Linked DNA regions of Xenopus tropicalis. The protein of the gene in region 1 binds, or shares a complex with, the protein of each later gene. Links are inferred from orthologs where the notes say so. Each region holds a gene or a part of one and is shown in the gene's direction. Other genes may lie near its edges.

Region 1 (8,687 bases):
GTGCAGACTAGGTTTTGGCACAGAAATCCACACCACGTACCAGCATCCAGGCACAGGGTAAGGTCAATGCCAGTTGAGGGGCTGTTCTTGGCTTTAGGGTAAACACAGAATTTGCTTCCAAAATTGAGGTGGTGTTGCATGTGCAGTTTTTTTGAGTTGTGTCTATTTGCTTTGTCCAAACACTTTTGCCATGTTTGTCATTAGATTCCTGACTAAGGAGCGAGTTAGCAAAATGGCTTCCATATTCTCAGGTTCGGATAATCATTTGAGAGATTTGCACATTAGATTCATTTGTTTTACAAATTGTAAAATACTTTTTCTCTCACTCTTTATCCTTCTAAAAGCGTTACTGTTTGTGCAGCCCAAGCAGCTGTATTTGCTTTTGTTAAATTCCTACCTCGTCTCAAGAAACCAAGGTACAAAATGTGTTTGATGTGATTGAAAAACATCAAATGCCGAGATATCAAACAAATTAATTCATAAGCTAACATCACAAGTCTCGCTTTGATATTTCTCTGCCCATTTTGCAGACCTTTTAATAATATGCTCTTTTTTTTTTTTCTCCAATGTTTGCATTCACTTACTTTTAGAGCAGCAATTTTTGACTTTCAGACACACAAGCTGGTGGAATGGATGTATAGGCAGAAGCTACACTATGAGCAGCTCTTGCGTCAGCATCATTTATTTATATAGCGCCAGCAGTGCCATAGATTAATTATAACAAACTGGATCAGAGGGCCCTGCTCTTAAGAGCTTACAATCTAAAGGGCTTAAGTTTTCCTATCTGGGGCAGGTACCATTCACCATGCCACTATCCCATGTGGGGGGACGCCATTCTTTTGCAACAAATTTAAATTAGGTTGTATGTGAGCTTTAATTTATATTTATGGCATCCATATGGAGTAACAATTTTGTGCATGTTTCTTCATGTTTTTTGTGCTAGTGTGGATATCAGTCAGTCACTTACGTATAGAAATAATTGCCACTGGGTACGGCTCTTTTTGAGAATTTTAGTACCAGTTGACTGCTCAAAGCAAATAGAGGAATATGCTTATAAGGTGATCCAGGTGCTAACAGCCCTACTTTGGTTGGGGGTAACAAAAGTGTTCTACTTCTAGTGAGTGTTACTGCTTGTTGGGGCACACACTCATGCATAAGGAGTAAGCATCCCAGGCTGTGGGTTGTAGGATCATGGGACACATCAACCATCAAATTATTTTGCCTACCAAATATTAAAATCTTATATTTCTCCTTTTTCTTTCAGCCAAAATCTACAAATGTTCTGGGTGCCGTCAATAAGCCCTTATCAAGCGCAGGAAAGCAAATGCAGTCCAAGTCATCTAGAATGGAGACTGTAAGCAACGCTAGCAGTGGTTCTAACCCAAGCTCTCCTGGGAGGATTAAGGGAAGGTATGACCAGATGTGTTATTTGCCCTTGCTATTACAATGTAAAGGAGACTGGTTGATTTATATTGACTGGTTGATTTATATTGTGCTTTCTTATAATAAATGACAGACTTGACAGTACAGAATTGGATCAGAGTGAAAATGAAGATTACACAATGATGTCTTCTCCTCTGTCTGGAAAAAAAAGTGATAAAAGGGACGACTCCGACCTTTTGAAGGTAGGACAATTTTATTTTGTTATTGAAGTTTTATGAAATGTTGCAGAGTAACATCAGATTTCATATCAATATTCTTGTTTGCTAGTTTTAAAGCAGCATGCTAACAGAAAAATAATTTCTACATGTACTTTATAAATCTGGCAACAATATCATCAATTCTGAACATAGTGTAATCAAATGATTGGTTGGTTGCGTGTGAACACTTGTGCTCATTAGTATTCACCCAGACAGCTTCAGTAACTGCTACTAACCAGAGCATGTTAATTTTATACAAGGGAGTTGTTGTCTTTTTTTCTGGAGTAGGCTCATATTAAGTTTATTTTTGTGGAAAACAATGATAATTGCTTTTTTTTTCTTTGTAGTCTGAGGTAGAAAAGCCAAGGCGAGGAAGAAAGCAGTCTCTTATAGATCAAGATGACAGTATATGCATGGATGAATTATCAAAACCTGTGCAGGAACCAAAGTCAAGGACTAGTCAGCGAGGAAGAAAGCGAGCTGCAGCTTCTTCTGAATCAGAGGAACAACCATGGCAGGAGAAAAGGCTAAAAGAAGACATGTTGGAAAATGAAGATGAACAAAATAGCCCACCTAAAAAGGGAAGAAGAGGGCGACCACCTAAGTCAGCTAAAATGGCCCTTTCAAAAGAGGAACCTTCAGCCACAACTCCTAAAAGGGGGAGGAAAAAGGCTGCACCAGTAGAAAGTGTTCAAGCAGAAGAAGAGGATAATCTAGAAATAAGTGAAGAGCAAGATGCTGAAAACATAGTGCAGAAGCGGAAAGGCAGGGGCTCATCAAGAAGGACTCCTCAAAAGTAAGTGCTGTGCTTTTTATTTCTGACTCCCCAAAAAGCGAACTTATAATTGTTGTTGTACTAAATTGAGTCTGCATTATCAGGTCTGATTCAACCGATTCTCTTCTCAACACCAGTCAGCCTACACCACAGAAGAGGAGAGGAAGGCCACCCAAAGCTTCCACAGTGCAGGAAAAGAAAGGGTACACACTAAAGCTTTATCCAATTTCAATTCTTGTGTTCTACATAGTTCTAAAAATTAGAATTCTAATTTGAATTAAAAGTTTTGTTTTAAGCTTTTACTTAGTTACCTAGTTCGCTCTTTAGAGCAGGTTGTAAGTTCAGATTTTTACTCCCAGTTAAATGCCATGTAAAGTGAGCCTGTTCGAAGAGCTCATGCTCTGTCCTTTAAACTGGGACCCCAATGACTGTTTTCATGATCAATAATGTGGTCTTTGTTCAGCTACAGATTCATCAATTTAGCTGTAAAAATTCTATTGCAAGAGAACTACATACGGCTAGAGAATATATAGGGTACCCTGTAGGATATGCACAACTCTGTCATTTGCTCTTATCATTGGCTCATTGGCCACACAACCCCTGATAAGATCCATCACAAAACTGGCCAAATTGGGAAACAATTGCTCCTTTAGAAAGTCCCTGAACTGAGTATCTTCCAGTGTACGGACAGTTTAAATTGCCCTCATAGTGAAGTTATATAAATGATTAGAACTTGACTCTGTTTTATATAATGTATCAGATTTTGAAACGTTTTATTTAGCTTTTTTGGAGGGATTGCCACCTTGGTCCTAAGACTTGACTTTCGTTTAGGCTACCCATCCACCGGATAACAAAATCATGTTTTAGCTTTTATATACTACATACCAAAGAAATCAGGCATTCTTTATTTGGATTAAAAATTTAACTTTAAAGCGAAAGACATAAGAGCACTACAAACATTCCATTGGTATATTTACTGTTATTATTTTTGTAAAACCATTGTAATCTCTTGCAGGCCTGAACTGTCAAATGCCAAAGTGGCTTCTGTAAGATGCCATAGACGGATGCCAATATCACTATTTATTGGGCCTGTTTGGGCCTCTGTGTACTTGAAACACCAGGGCCTAGTGAATCCCAGTCCAGACCTGGCTTCCTCTCCCTGCTGTAGTTAATAAAATCAACACATACTGCACTTGCAGTAACATAAGCTAAAATACAGCTTTGCTGCACCAAAATGTACTCATTTTAATTTTTCCTTTCTTAAGCAATGTTGGGCGACCAAGAAAGGTAGTAAGTAAAGAACCAGAATCTGAAGAAGAAATCGAAATGTCCCAGAATAGTCCAGCTCTTAGTGAAAACAATTCTAATGAAGAGGAAACTGCAGACGAAGAAGTAGTTGTTCCTAGTACTGTAAGTATTCCCTAAATTTTACTTGCTCTATAGGCACTTAAAGGAAAAGTAGCACCAAAAAAATGAGTGTTTTAAATTAATTAAAATATAACATACTCTTGCCCCTCACTGGTAAGTCTGGTGTCAACTTTTCCAATAATGTGTCATATCTACTGTCTGATACAGTAGGTAGGTGGACTTGTACTCCACGCAGATTCTGTTTCTAGATGCTATCAGGATTAAGCAATCTTATCATTAGCTAAATTTGCTAAAAAGGTAAAATTGAAGTGTTTTCTAGAATTTCATTATTTTTCTCAGGGTTAAAAGGGCTCCCCAAAAATGTTTAATGCGTAATAAAAGAAAATGTAATGCTACGCCGGGTTGCCTAGGGAAGCCTTAGGCAACCTGGCCAGCCTCTCCCCCCCACCCCAGGGACCCAGAGGGGTAGGTGACAGAAGAGGTACATGCCTAGTGCCCCTCCGCCGTTATGCCCTAGGCACGTGTCTCTTCTGCCCAGCCCTAGTCCTGGCCCTGATGATATTTATTTAAAACAGTCCCTTGTACTTGACCCTAAACTAGCATAAATTTGTGTTGGGGGCAGCCGTAATGGGTTTATGTAACGTTTAAATATTTTTTCAGTAGGCTTAAACTAATCCAAATTACAGACAGATCCCTTATCCAGAAATCCCAGGTCCCAAGCATTCTGAATAATAAATTCCATTTGTGTAGTTACCTGCAAATAAGCCTTCAGTTATCTGGTACTGGTCCATGTGTCGAAAGAAACCACCGGAAAAATGATTAAACATGGTGATGCACTTCTCACATAGAATATTCCATGGGTTGGTGCGTTTTTCACCCAATATGGATAAAGTGTAGTTTTGTAACCGTCATGTAGTTGCAAAAAAGAGCCATAAAGCCACTTTCATCATTATAAGGGTCAACTGACAGAATGGTTGAACACTATTGTAATTTTTACATTTATATTAACTCATCATTTAATACCTTAATTAAACACAAATTCAATGACAATGTTGCATTGTATTCTTGCGGGTGGTTTGCCATTAATCATTAAATAATGTCTGAATTTTATATACCCCAGGGAAGGCGCAGATCTGCCAAAAAGCGATGAAGCCGGACAAAGCAGAAGTCTGAAGCTGAAGTGAACTAGAAGGGCCACTGCTATAGGAGCCGGCGCGAGGCTGCTCGTGCATAGGAGACGCCGACGAACGACAACACGCTTAAACATTAAATATCATATCCCTTCATTTACAGCCACAATCGTTTGTCATTAGCTGTGGGTACTTTACGTGATTTGTAATGTGTGCTGGACATGTAGACATGAACGTGTAAATAGCGATTTTTTTTTTTTAATGTTTCATAAAGTGCTTGTATAGCTTTTTGTTTTGCAGCTTTAAACTGACTTTACCTGAATGGACGTCAGAAGATTTTTACATACGATGGACAAATGAAAGATATCAAAAAAAGATTCATATGGAATTGAAGCAATATTTGCTGTTTTTTGTGGACCCCTCCCATCCCACGTCGCATATTACTGTGAAAAAAAAAAAATCTTGCCGTTGATTTACTGCAAAGCTAAATGGCCTTTTTATCTTCCACTCTTGTCTCCGGGCACCTCTTTTCCGCTTTGGCGCTGCCCTGACTTTGAGAACAGATTCTCCATAGGATAACTCCATACACAGCAGAATTCAATTGTGTGCGTAACCAAATGTTGTCATTCTCCAACTCAGTATTCCTGCCAGGCTGACTGTATTATGGCATTGCATATTATAGGAAGAGGTTTTAAAATATTTAAATTTTTTAACATTTTGGCGCTATTAAATAATGTATGAAAGATGCTACCTAAGTGATGATCTTTTAGTTTTTGGTAACCAACAGTGTCAATAAAATTCTGTATTGTTGTCCCCGCCCAATATTTCTTAATGCATTTAGATATTTATACGAAAACAGTACCCCCCAGATTGGTAAGTGTTACTAAATCCATTGGTCACATTGTGTCTGACGCACTGAAGCTTTCCTAGTGGAAAACTCATTCTGTTCTCGGGGTGGAAATTCTTTCAGTACTTTATATATAAAGTTATTGCAATTGTTGAAAGCATATTGTCTTGTAAAAATGCTAGAGCATAGGCAACGTGCCCTTTACAATGCTTTGCTACAATTAAAGGTGTAAGTATGTCCTTTTTTTTAAAGGTTTGCATGTCTGTGATCAGTTCTGGGGCTGAGGGTTGTGTTGATTTTGAAAGTGTTCATTTTAAAAGTGGTATTTTCTAGAAATAGTCCTTCAAAAGCTGCCTCTATTTCTGTGCCAACTGAGAATTCTACATTGAGACTTAGGGAACAGAAGAGCCGTTTCTATCAGAAAATCTGGTGAGGACATTATTGAAGAATGCGCCTATACACGTGCATTGTTGGGTGGCTCCGTTTCATAGACCTCCCTGTGTACACAGTGTACTTTTTAAAATTATATAGAGAGATGAACAGCTTTGCAATGTATACATTAATGAGAATATAGCGTCATTTATAAAGGCATCTAAACTTTCCAGAACAATCTCTCACCTTTTGTTCATTGGTACATGTGAATCAGATCCTAGTGTATTCTGAAGTCAAGCCTAATGCCTTGTCTGTCTGTTTTTTATGTTTTTTGTTTTTTTTTTTACTTCAATTGCTGATTTTGTTCATTAGATTTTGTTTTCTGTATATGTCTGTTTACATTTCTTTAATGAAGTCATTTTTTGAAAGGGAATAGTTCAGTCTGTATTGGTTTTATTACCATTATTATCTCTTGGATATGGAATAGTAAGTAAGGCGTGACACAAGCTGCTGGATTAAGCCTCACTTGGCCATGGGGTGAGTTAAACTTCATTTCCAAAAAATCCTATTTCCTCATAACTTGGCCATTGCTCCAAACAAAGCAACACGTGACATCATCTTCAGTGATGTTTTTCAGAGACACTTTGCAAATGAGACTGTCACCAGAGCCTTGACACCATCTAACTTGCAAATCACTGGTGGGAAAATATGCGTGGCAAAAAATTGGCCAATGTTTCTTTACAAGGAAAGCCAAAATGCAGTGTATGTTTCCCACCAGCTATTTGCATGTTAGCTGCTGGGAAGGAAACAAGGGACGTTTTGTCGACATTCTATCTGTATTGGCTACAGCCAGTGAGACTTGGATAAACAAATACACAGTTGCTTATTGATTTTTGTACTAGGCCCTAAAAACTCAGGTATTTGTTAGAGAATATACTGAATAGGGTAAAGCATACAAAGTCAGTCAGTTTGCAGTAGGGCTAGTTAACCATCATCATCTATCCATCACTGCATTAGGGCAGGGTAGAGAGGAGGTGGTAATGAGGGTGAAGAAGGTATAATATAAGCAGTTATGTTAGATGGGAAAAAATGAGAACCAAGACAGCTGCACTGTCTGATACCGCAAGGGGTATATTTGCTCCCACTTTGTTCCCTGTGATGATCAGCTTTGAAACTAACCTTTGGGTGATGAGCTAGGAAACTCCATTGCACTTCTATACCCCATAACTTGCCTGCAGCAGGGGAATACAAGCCACTTCCTCCTCTTTAGGTTGCAGCTAATTTGTATTAATGACTTTTATGCGTGGGTAGAAATAGTACAGAATAGTACAGATAAGAGTAAGGATGATGTTGACTGACAGCTTATAATATAGCAGTATATGTTTTATATTAAGGTTAAAGTAATACTTGCATTGTCTGCTTTCCCATGCCGGAGTGGTGATCTCTGTTTTATGAAGATGAATTTGTACTTTATTTGTTTTATATGTATAAAGTTTATTTTATAAGAGCTACCATTCTGTACTAAAACTAACCTATGCTGATACTAGAACCCAATAATAAAGGGGTTCATAACCTGCAGTGTAACTTGCTGGCAGTTGGATAATGAAGTGATGGGACTGGAATCACGTGAATTCGGATTTGCAGAGAAAACCATTCAGTATCCTTAATCACAGGGCTACATTCTTGCACCTCCTGGAATGCACAACTGCTTATTTATAATCTGACATTCCCCTTTTCTGTACCCCACTACCCTTTGGTCTGTGCTATATTACTCGGTGTTCTTTTGCTATATTTCTGTATAGGACTGTATGTTATGGCTGGCAAACAAATATACATTTTACAGTAAAATGTGTAAATACTTTTTTTTTGTGATCTAACATCCTTGCAAGCCTCCAAACAGAAGCTATATGACAGATTAAAGAAAAAAAACAGAGAATACTATGCTTACAATGACTTGGTTATGCAGCTGCCTAGCAATGATTGGTCACGTCATGAAGTCTCAGGCGACTAAGACGCATCATTGCACAAAGCATGTACTTAATGCCAGTGTTCCATGCAGTTTCATTCCCTTGATCAATATTCTTGTTTTTCTGTTTCACTGACAAGTGCTGTTTCTTTTATTTTTTCCTTTGAGACTGAAACATTTCAGTCATGTTTTGTGACTTAATTTTCAAATAAATGATGTGATTTTTTTTTTCATAGACTTATGTGCCTGGGTCCTGATTTATATTTAAAATGTGTACATTATTAAACTGATGGTGCAAATGAGGTGACGTTCTGTGCCATTCTCAGTATTGTTGCATCACAGATTATATTATATATTAGTTGTAAGTTAGTCAAAGTTTGTCAAAAATATCTGGACAGAATGTTTTAATATTGTCAAAAATATTGACACAAATTTTCTGTAGATACACTTATTGCTGAGTTCCAAACTGTCTCCAGAAGCAGTGTTGGCACCTTCATTTGTATGGAGTATGGGGTTTTTTGGGGTGATCAGAGGCCAATGAATGTAAGAAACCATGTGTAAATCCAAAGTTGAATGGAGCGGTATAAAG
Region 2 (8,825 bases), on another chromosome or scaffold:
ACTAATGTACTGCAGCTGTGGATAGTATAGTGGATGTCCTACCTTAAGGCTAATGCCACACCATGCATATGCGTGTATTTTTGGCAAGCATTTTTTGGCTTGTTGAAAATATACGCCATACGCATGGTGTGGCATTACTTTTCACTTTGAAACTTTTTGCGTAAATCATTTGATTTTTATGAAAAAAATCTTGAATGAGTGGACAGGATATCCCTGTCTCATTGTAAGCTTTTGGGGGTAATGCTTATTTGCTGTTCTCTGCAAAAATTAGGAGGGGCTGATTTGGAAGTGGTTCTGTATATATGTTTTGACAGTTTTGAATGCAAAAGAATAACTATTAAAGCACCTCCTTAAAATAGTCCAATTTAAATGTCAAAAAAGCTGAATTTACAGTGGAATGCTAATATTTTGGGCATTTTTCTGGTTAATTTAGTCACTAAAATTATATCTCAGGTTGGCACTTATGTGGAAGCACCACCTCCATCTTTTACTCACCAAACTTACACTTGCAGTGGCAGTACTGTGCAGTGGCCTCATTTTTTGATTTTGGTGTACCTGTGTGCACAGCGAGAACTTCCTTATTGAATTTACAGGGAGGTTCCTAATATATTTAAAGTGGACAGAAAATTCAGCTATGTTGTCCTAATAAGCTTGTATTTTTGTTTTCTTTAGAAAGGTGTTGATGGAAACCTTTTTAGCAGCATGATACGTGATTGTATGTCTGTAGTCCTCTGTACATTTTGTTCTTGGGCTTTATTATGCAATTTACAGTGATGTTTGCCCTATTTATCTGTTTTTAGGCAAAGCCATCAGATGCACCATGCGCAAAAGATGACGGGGTATTTAAGGCTCCAGCACCTCCTCCTAAAGTGATAAAAACTGTTACAATTCCCACACAACCATATCAGGATATTGTGACAGCACTAAAATGCAGAAAGGAGCACAAGGAAGTGAGTGCTTGTATTTTTTTCTCCCATTTTCTTTTCAAATGTTTTTAGAGTAGTTTGTACATTGCTTAATTTGTTTTGACCTTTTAGGCCTACGACATAGACTGTGTCTTTGCCAATACGAAAAGCATTAATGGTTAGAATGCCCCTTTTTGCCTTTCACCGCTTTCCATAAATTTTCCTCTCTCATTACTAGGCCTGATGTAGGCAAGGCATTTCCCAAGCACCTCTAAGGGGAACCATTTCTTTTAACCATGTCTAAAATTTAATGTGGCCCTTCAAGTAATTTTATGGCCTACTTTATGCCCAAGATCTCCACCTAGGCAAAAATAAAATATTTTGTCAGTGTTATTATAATCCATCCATGCAAAATAGCTGACAGTTATCCCATTGCATTGAAAAACCTTGGACAGTACTGCCTTAATGGAGTGACATAACATTAACATTAGATCTGACATACCATCGTTGTATACATTTATTTGTGTTACACTTCTCATGCCAGTGCAGCAGTGCTCTAGTATTGCATGGGTTAAACTACTTTCTTTTAGCTGGAGAGACACTTAAGGTGGCAATACACGCTAAGAATCTTCTCCCGATAACCCCGCCTAAGGTCGGGTGATATCTGGCTAATTCGGTCTTTTGGCCCTGGGCCAAACTATCAAATTAGAATGGCAGGTATAGGCACCGTTGGTTCAGGACCCGCATCAACTAGCCGATGTGGTACCTGATCCAACGGAAAAATCATCTGCCCTATAGAGATCTGACTGATTTCAGGCCTTCTGCACTCACCATTCTAGGGTGATTTTCTTTGGGACATAAATCAGACACGCCCTCATGTGTGATAACATTCTGATATAATTCTGAAACACAGTATGCCCATATTATTCCAATGATATGTTGGTATCATATGCCAGTAACTGGGTAGCTGCTGAACAAAAAGTGAAATAATTCAAAAAACACAAAAGTAATCAGATTCTCGGAATCATTGTCTGCATCATAATAAATGTTAATATAAAAGCAAACTACACTTGTAAAGGGCATGTAAAGCCTACATTTACAATGTGTATAAGATGGGCACATCTCCCTCACCCAAATGTACTGCATATATCCCCTCCATTTTCCAGCGCCATCACACCCAGTGGCTATTTTTCCTCTGAAGCACCATAAGTGCATTACATCTGCACAAAAGCACAGGTGCACTATAAAGTACACGCAGTGAAGAATGCGTGCTTCTGCAGGCAAAACTTACTGTGATCCTGCTTGGATTGAAATGGTTAAGCTGATTTCAGGAGAGGAGGTTAGGAGAAAAAATAGGTGCAGACAGCTAGAACAGAGTTTCTATGGAAACCAGCAATGCGAAGAGCAGAGCTGAGCACGCTTAGTAGCCAACAGCCAAAGTAAATTCCTGAGAGAGCGCTGAGTAGGTTAGAGGAGGACAAGGAAGAAAGGGTAAGTAATTAAGGGGATGATGCATCCTCACTATTAACCTTTGAACAACTGGAGCAACAGATTTTTAAAGATTTCAGGGAGGTTTACATGTCCTAAAAGAAAACCGTACCCCTGAACATTGGGGGCAGTCCGCTCTTTGGTGTGCTCAGAAACTAAAGGCACACATACATGCTGGTCTATATGAGCCAATGAATGGACAGAGCTCTGTCATCTACTCTCACACATTATTTCCTGTCAGGTGATCTCTGAAGGACCTACACTAAATAGTGGCTCAAGGGAAAAGATGTACCGTATATACTCGAGTATAAGCCTCGAGTATAACCCTCTGCTTATACTCGAGACCCTCCTGACCCCCTGCTGGTGATTCCCGCTGCCCCCGCCAACACGACAGCCTACCCTCAACCAACTCTAAAGCCCCACACGCACACACACTGCACGGACAAAAACTCCTGCAAAACTAAGTCGCAGTTTTACATACCGGCACTTGCGACTTAAAGTTCCCTCAGTCCCGCTCTCTGCTTATGCCAGCTTCCCAGAACCGCCATCCTCCTAACTGTGCACTCCTCTGCTCTGCTGTGCGCGCTTCTGTTCTGCTGGGCGCCGCAGTCGCACCAGTGACGTCACGCACCCCCTTCAGTTACCTATACCTTCTAAGATGAGGCCATGAGTAACTGAAGGGGGCGCATGACGTCACTGGTGCGACTGCGGCGCCCAGCAGAACAGAAGCGCGCACAGCAGAAGAGCACACAGTTAGGAGGATGACGGTTCTGGGAAGCTGGTTTTGGCTACACTGCCTGACCACCTTGGAATGTATGGAAAGTTGGCTTTACAACAGATAATAATGTGATCCCGTTGATAGAGGTTTTATCTGTCATGATGGAAATTTTTCATCGGTTTGTAATGGAACTGCCCATAACTGGTAGATCCTCAATAAGAAAAAGGGGACTAGGAAGGCCTTTACTGCAAGAAGAAGGTATGTAGCAAGTCAATGTGAGGAACCAAGGCAGAATTTATTGAGAGCTTCTCACAGTTGTAGCAGATACTGGTTTCTGGCTCCCCTATATCTCGGTCATGATCAGCATGCAGTGCATAAGCCTCTGAGCTGTCACTATGGCTCCACTAGGTTCCCAATAGTCTAATCCTAAACACTCTAGTTCCCTGGCACTCAACTGCCTTGGGTCTCTTCTCCAAATAATCCCTCTTCGATGGGACAAACTGTCCTTATACCCTGGCTATCTTGCACTCCTAGAGAGACATAACATAAATCTCCTAACCCACTTCCTAGAACTAACATGGTACTGCCTGCCACCTGGTCTGGCTCTGTGGTCGTTTTGCTTGACGTTCCTAGGCCAAACAGGAAGTCTCTAGCTACTGAACTTTCTTATATACATGTAAGTTCCTGTAGAGGAATTCCCCCACAGGCCAACTTGTTACACTCTTGTCTAACTATTGCCTATTATACACTCTTGCATCTCTATTTAAGTGTGGACTTACTCGGGTATATAGGCAGGAGCAATAGGTTAATGTCAGTATGCTTTCTGCTGAGAATGGGGTGATCTGTGTCAGTTATCTATTATCAGTTCTCAAGCAATATCGTGTAACAAGATTATCCTGCTGTGCTTCGTGTGCTGGCTCGCTCGCACCAGCCCTACTGGTGACACCCTAGGCTTATACTCGAGTCAATAGGTTTTTCCAGTTTTCTTAGGTAAAATTAGGTACCTCGGCTTATATTCGGATCGGCTTATACTCGAGTATATATGGTAAATGGAAAATATTTTCTGATATACATGATTTGTTGATTAAGTATTCATTCCGTATAACTTCAGTACAGCGAGTGGGAAGGAGATTCACAGACCAAAAATGTTTGTCCTTTTAAAAAGATAGAAAACCTCACAGGAATGAAATGTAAGTGGCCAACCTAAGAATATTTACTCAGGTGTAAGAAAGGAAATGGGAAGGAAGTATCATTTAAAGGAGAAGGAAAGCTAAAAACTAAGCTTTATCAGAAAGGTCTATGTAAATACAGCCATAAGCACTCGCAGAAATGCTGCACTGAATTCTCTGCAAGAGAAACAGGATTTGTTGTCTTTGTTTTCCTGTACCGGAGACACGCAGCTCTCTCCTCTCTCCTGCTCCCGCCCCTCCCTCAAAAATGCTAAGAACCCCCCCCCCCCTTAGGAATATGTGATCTGAGCCAATCAGCAGGAAGCTTCCTCATAGTCTTACAAACTGCACATACACACCGGTCTTGGTGCAGTGCAGTGTGTGAGGAATTATGGGAACTTTCTTTACAGAGCTCAGCGTTTTTTTTCCTTTGAGACTTCTGATCAACTGAACGGGAGAAATATGGGGGGGACTTAAGGGCACTATTGAGACAACTGAAGGTATGCCTGCAGCTTGAGATATTAACTCTTTGTTAGCCTTTCCTTCTCCTTTAAATAACAGTAAAAAACAAAACTGGAATAGATTGCTTCTATTTCAAAGACTAAAGCTGGTCATACATATACTCATTTTGATTACAGTGGGTAAAAGTGCAAGTCCATTAAAAGAATAATAACAATACACTGCAGAGCTCCTTTTTCATATTTATCTAATGGGTATATGGCCATGTGAATAAAATTTTAGGTTTGTGCATCTTCTGCTAAGGTGCAACTGATTTGGCCTGTTATCTGCATGTGGTAACTTGCCCCTAAAAAGAAAGGTCTATTTTATGTATACTTTGTTTAATCTGCTGGTAACATACCTTTATTTTGTTCTAGTTATATACTGTAGTTCAGCATGTAAAGCACTTCAACGATGTTGTAGAATTTGGAGAGAATCAAGAATTCACTGATGATATTGAATATCTGCTAAGTGGGCTTAAAAGCAGTCAGCCCATAAACACACGTTGCCTTAGGTAAGAGATATATGCCTTCCTAGGCAGTGCCAACAGTCTCTGCATATATCTGCATGCATGCTTTTGGTTTTATGCCTTAAACAGATTCACTGACCTAACTGTGACAGAGGTAGTAAACTAGTCTTGTCACTGTCTTCCCCTTATTAATGTTGCAAATTATCACAAGTGGCTGATTCGGAGTTGCATATGTGATATGCTGACCACTGGCCTTTTTAAGCTGATTTCTTTGGAGGATTGGGATGACTGCTTGTACGGCTGGAATTTTTAATAAGTTATTACAAATCTATTTTAAAGAAGACTACAATTTAACTATATTTCTTATCCTGAAATCATGTCATAGGACATTTTTTTATTTTGCATCTTGATTTTTAAGAAATTATATATTTTTTTGTATAGTTCTCTCTGTTAAGATTTGTAAATTTTGTAAACTGATATATGCGTCTCCTCGTTACAGTGTAATAAGCCTGGCGACAAAATGTGCCATGCCAAGTTTCCGAATGCATCTGAGAGCGCATGGAATGGTAGCCATGGTCTTCAAAACACTGGATGATAGTCAGCAACACCAGGTATTTTCAAACCGTCAACTCAAGACTTGCTTTCATTGCACCATTAGGACTATTATAATAAAGATCATTATAATAAAAAATAACAATAATAGCCTCAGAATTTTTTAGGTCGCTGGTAACAGTAAAGCAGAAACAAATTAAAAAAAAGTGTGTGTGTATAATATATATAATTTTTTTTTTTAAGGATAAGTAAGCCTTTATCATAAAAGCCCCTCATGTCGATTCTGTGTCACAAGCAGCTAATTTCTTAGCTACTTCCTAGTCTAAAATGAAGCTCCACCGCTTTTTCTTTGCTGAGTTCTCCTTTTGATAGACATGAATGGTACTGTACTGCATGATTAGTAATGAATGTCAGTAGCACTTTGATGTGATACATCTGCTGCTAAATCATCACATCATTAGGGACAGGGATTCTGTCATGATTTTTATGGTGTCATTTTTATTTCTAAATTATGCTGTTTACATAGTAAATTATTCACTCTAACATTTTAAAATGGTAATTCTTGAACCAACAAATATATATATATTTTTTTAGTTTGTAATATTGGTGTGTAGACAGCCATCTCAGTGCATTGTGCCTGAGCTTTTAAAAAGAGCCAGCACTACACATTAGAACTGCTTTCAGATAACCTATTGTTTTTCCTGCCTCCATGTAACTGGAGGAGTCTTAGGGCTCTGGCACACAGGGAGATTAGTCGCCTGTGACAAATCTCCCTGTTCGCGGGCGACTAATCTCCCCGAAATGCCATTCCATCAGCGAAAATGTAAATCGCCGGTGGGATGGCATACGCGGTGGCGCGATTCCAGTGAAATCGCAGAAGTTTCCTCTCGAGGCAACTTCCGCGATGTCACTGAAATCGCGCCGCCGCGTATGCCATCTCACCGGCGATTTACATTTTCGCCGATAGGATGGCATTTCGGGGAGATTAGTCGCCCGCTAACAGGGAGATTTGTCACGGGCGACTAATCTCCCCATGTGCCAGAGCCCTTAAAGAAACAGTAACATCAAAAACTTAAATTGTTTTAAAGTAATTAAAATATAATGTGCTATTGCTCTGCAAAAAAACTGGTGTTTTTGCTTCAGAAAAGCTACTATATAAATAAGCTGCTGTGTAGCCATGGGGGCAGCCATTCAAGCTGGAAAAAAGGAGAAAAGGCACAGGTTACATAGCAGAAAACTAGTAGATAAGCCCCATATAATGGGGGTTTGTCTGTTATCTGCTATGTAACCTGTGCCTTTTCTCCTTTGAATGGCTGCCCCGATGGCTACACAGCAGCTTACTTATATAAACTATAGTAGTCTTTCTGAGGCAAACACACCAGTTGTACCAGTGCAGGGCAACAGTACATTATATTGTAATTACTTTTATACACTTTCATTTTTTGGTGTTACTGTTCCTTTAAGTGGGGCTTGGATTTCTTACTATTGAGTGCTATTCTGCTATCTACTGGGAGCTGCTATCTTGCTGCCTTCCCATTGTTCTGCTGATCGGCTATAACTGAAGTTTATCAGAGCTCAGGTCACATGGCTGTGGCACCCTGGGAAATGAAGAACATGGTTAACCCCATGTGAAATTTTTTGATTTTTGAAAAACAGATTTCAATGCAGGATTCTGCTCAAGAAGCTCTATTAAATGCATTTTGAAAAAAAAAACTTGTTTTGCCATGACAGTATGCCATACCCTATATTTTTTTAAAGTTGAGTGGTGCTAAGAGTTCAACAGGGCAGAACATAATCTGTCTGTTATTCATTGGCAGCTAAGCTTGACAAGGATATTTTTTCCTGAATTATCTTATTAGTTCAAAATAAGTAATGGTACATTGTTTTCATGAGCATTTATCTGTTTGTTTATATCTGGTTTTGTTTTTTCATTATTAGAATCTAGCACTTTGCACTGCTGCACTGATGTATATACTGAGCAGGGATCGCTTAAACATGGACCTAGATAGGGCGAGCTTGGATCTTATGATCCGACTTTTAGAAATGGAACAAGACCCCTCAGCCAGACAAATGAATGAGAAAGAAATGAACAAAATCAAAGAGAAGATACGCAAACTGTGTGAAACTGTCCACAACAAACATTTAGATTTGGAAAACATTACGGTACGTCCCTATCAGGGTTGTTCATTCCTTTGTAACAATTTTAAAGTAACTTATATGGCTTCTCAACAGGTTTTATGTGGCATTTAGATTTTTTATTTTTCATGATTCCTTTTTTTTTTATTTTATAGCAAATCGCAACTTTCCATAGGAAAGACCGTTTTTCTTACATGTATGGCCACATTCAGTTAAAGCTAAAGACACAAGTTACAAAATAGTCTCCCGCTTGTTGCTAGCCAAAATGCATTCCTTATAGCATAATTTGGAATGGGAAAACATTAAAGCTATGGTATTGGCAGTTAAAGGAACAGTAGCACCAAAAAATGAAAGTGTATAAAAGTAACTACGATATAATGTACTGTTGCCCTGCACTGGTGCAGCTGGTGTGTTTTGCCACTGAAAGACTACTATAGTTTATACAACCAAAGCTGCTGTGTAGCTATTCAAAGGAGCAGATAACAGTTAAAACCCAGTTATTCTACAGAGATTATCTGATATCTGCTGTGTTACCTGTGCCTTTTTTCTCATTTTTCCATCTTAAATTGCTGCCCCATAGCTACACAGCACATTATTTATATAAACTGTTGTAGTGTTTCTGTAGCAAATACACCGGTTATACCAATGCAGGGCAACAGTACATTATATTTTAATTACTTTAAAAACACTTAAATTTGTTCTATTGCAGACAAGCAGTTATTAATCCGGAAAACATTCCTACATGTGGTTGGTGTGTTTTTCTATTTATCTGTTCATTTGGCTTTTTGTCCTCAACACAGACTGGACACTTGGCAATGGAAACATTACTATCTCTTACGTCAAAACGAGCAGGAGACTGGTTTAAAGAGGAGTTAAGACTTCTAGGTGGT

The links.
Region 2: the proteins of pds5b (region 1) and wapl are in contact, whole or in part, in a crystal structure (PDB 5HDT), measured with the Homo sapiens proteins. The link is inferred for Xenopus tropicalis from reciprocal best matches to the Homo sapiens genes PDS5B and WAPL. Residues at the interface, in NP_055847.1 of Homo sapiens: Gln47, Phe88, Ala92, Pro93, Ala95, Trp137, Val138, Lys139, Ser140, Asn142, Ile143, Phe145, Glu146, Glu187, Gly188, Asp189; in NP_055860.1 of Homo sapiens: Lys7, Thr8, Tyr9, Ser10, Arg11.

The regions. Positions count from the first base shown.
Region 1 is NC_030678.2:153,044,668-153,053,354, reverse strand, and holds the end of pds5b (sister chromatid cohesion protein PDS5 homolog B), read left to right. Parts: intron 1-1,264; coding exon 1,265-1,410; intron 1,411-1,516; coding exon 1,517-1,625; intron 1,626-1,987; coding exon 1,988-2,436; intron 2,437-2,519; coding exon 2,520-2,618; intron 2,619-3,680; coding exon 3,681-3,825; intron 3,826-4,903; coding exon 4,904-4,933; 3' UTR 4,934-5,373; downstream 5,374-8,687. UniProt on the Homo sapiens protein: Regulator of sister chromatid cohesion in mitosis which may stabilize cohesin complex association with chromatin. May couple sister chromatid cohesion during mitosis to DNA replication.
Region 2 is NC_030683.2:49,056,610-49,065,434, reverse strand, and holds part of wapl (wings apart-like protein homolog), read left to right. Parts: intron 1-800; coding exon 801-950; intron 951-5,155; coding exon 5,156-5,292; intron 5,293-5,746; coding exon 5,747-5,858; intron 5,859-7,737; coding exon 7,738-7,962; intron 7,963-8,735; coding exon 8,736-8,825. UniProt on the Homo sapiens protein: Regulator of sister chromatid cohesion in mitosis which negatively regulates cohesin association with chromatin. Involved in both sister chromatid cohesion during interphase and sister-chromatid resolution during early stages of mitosis.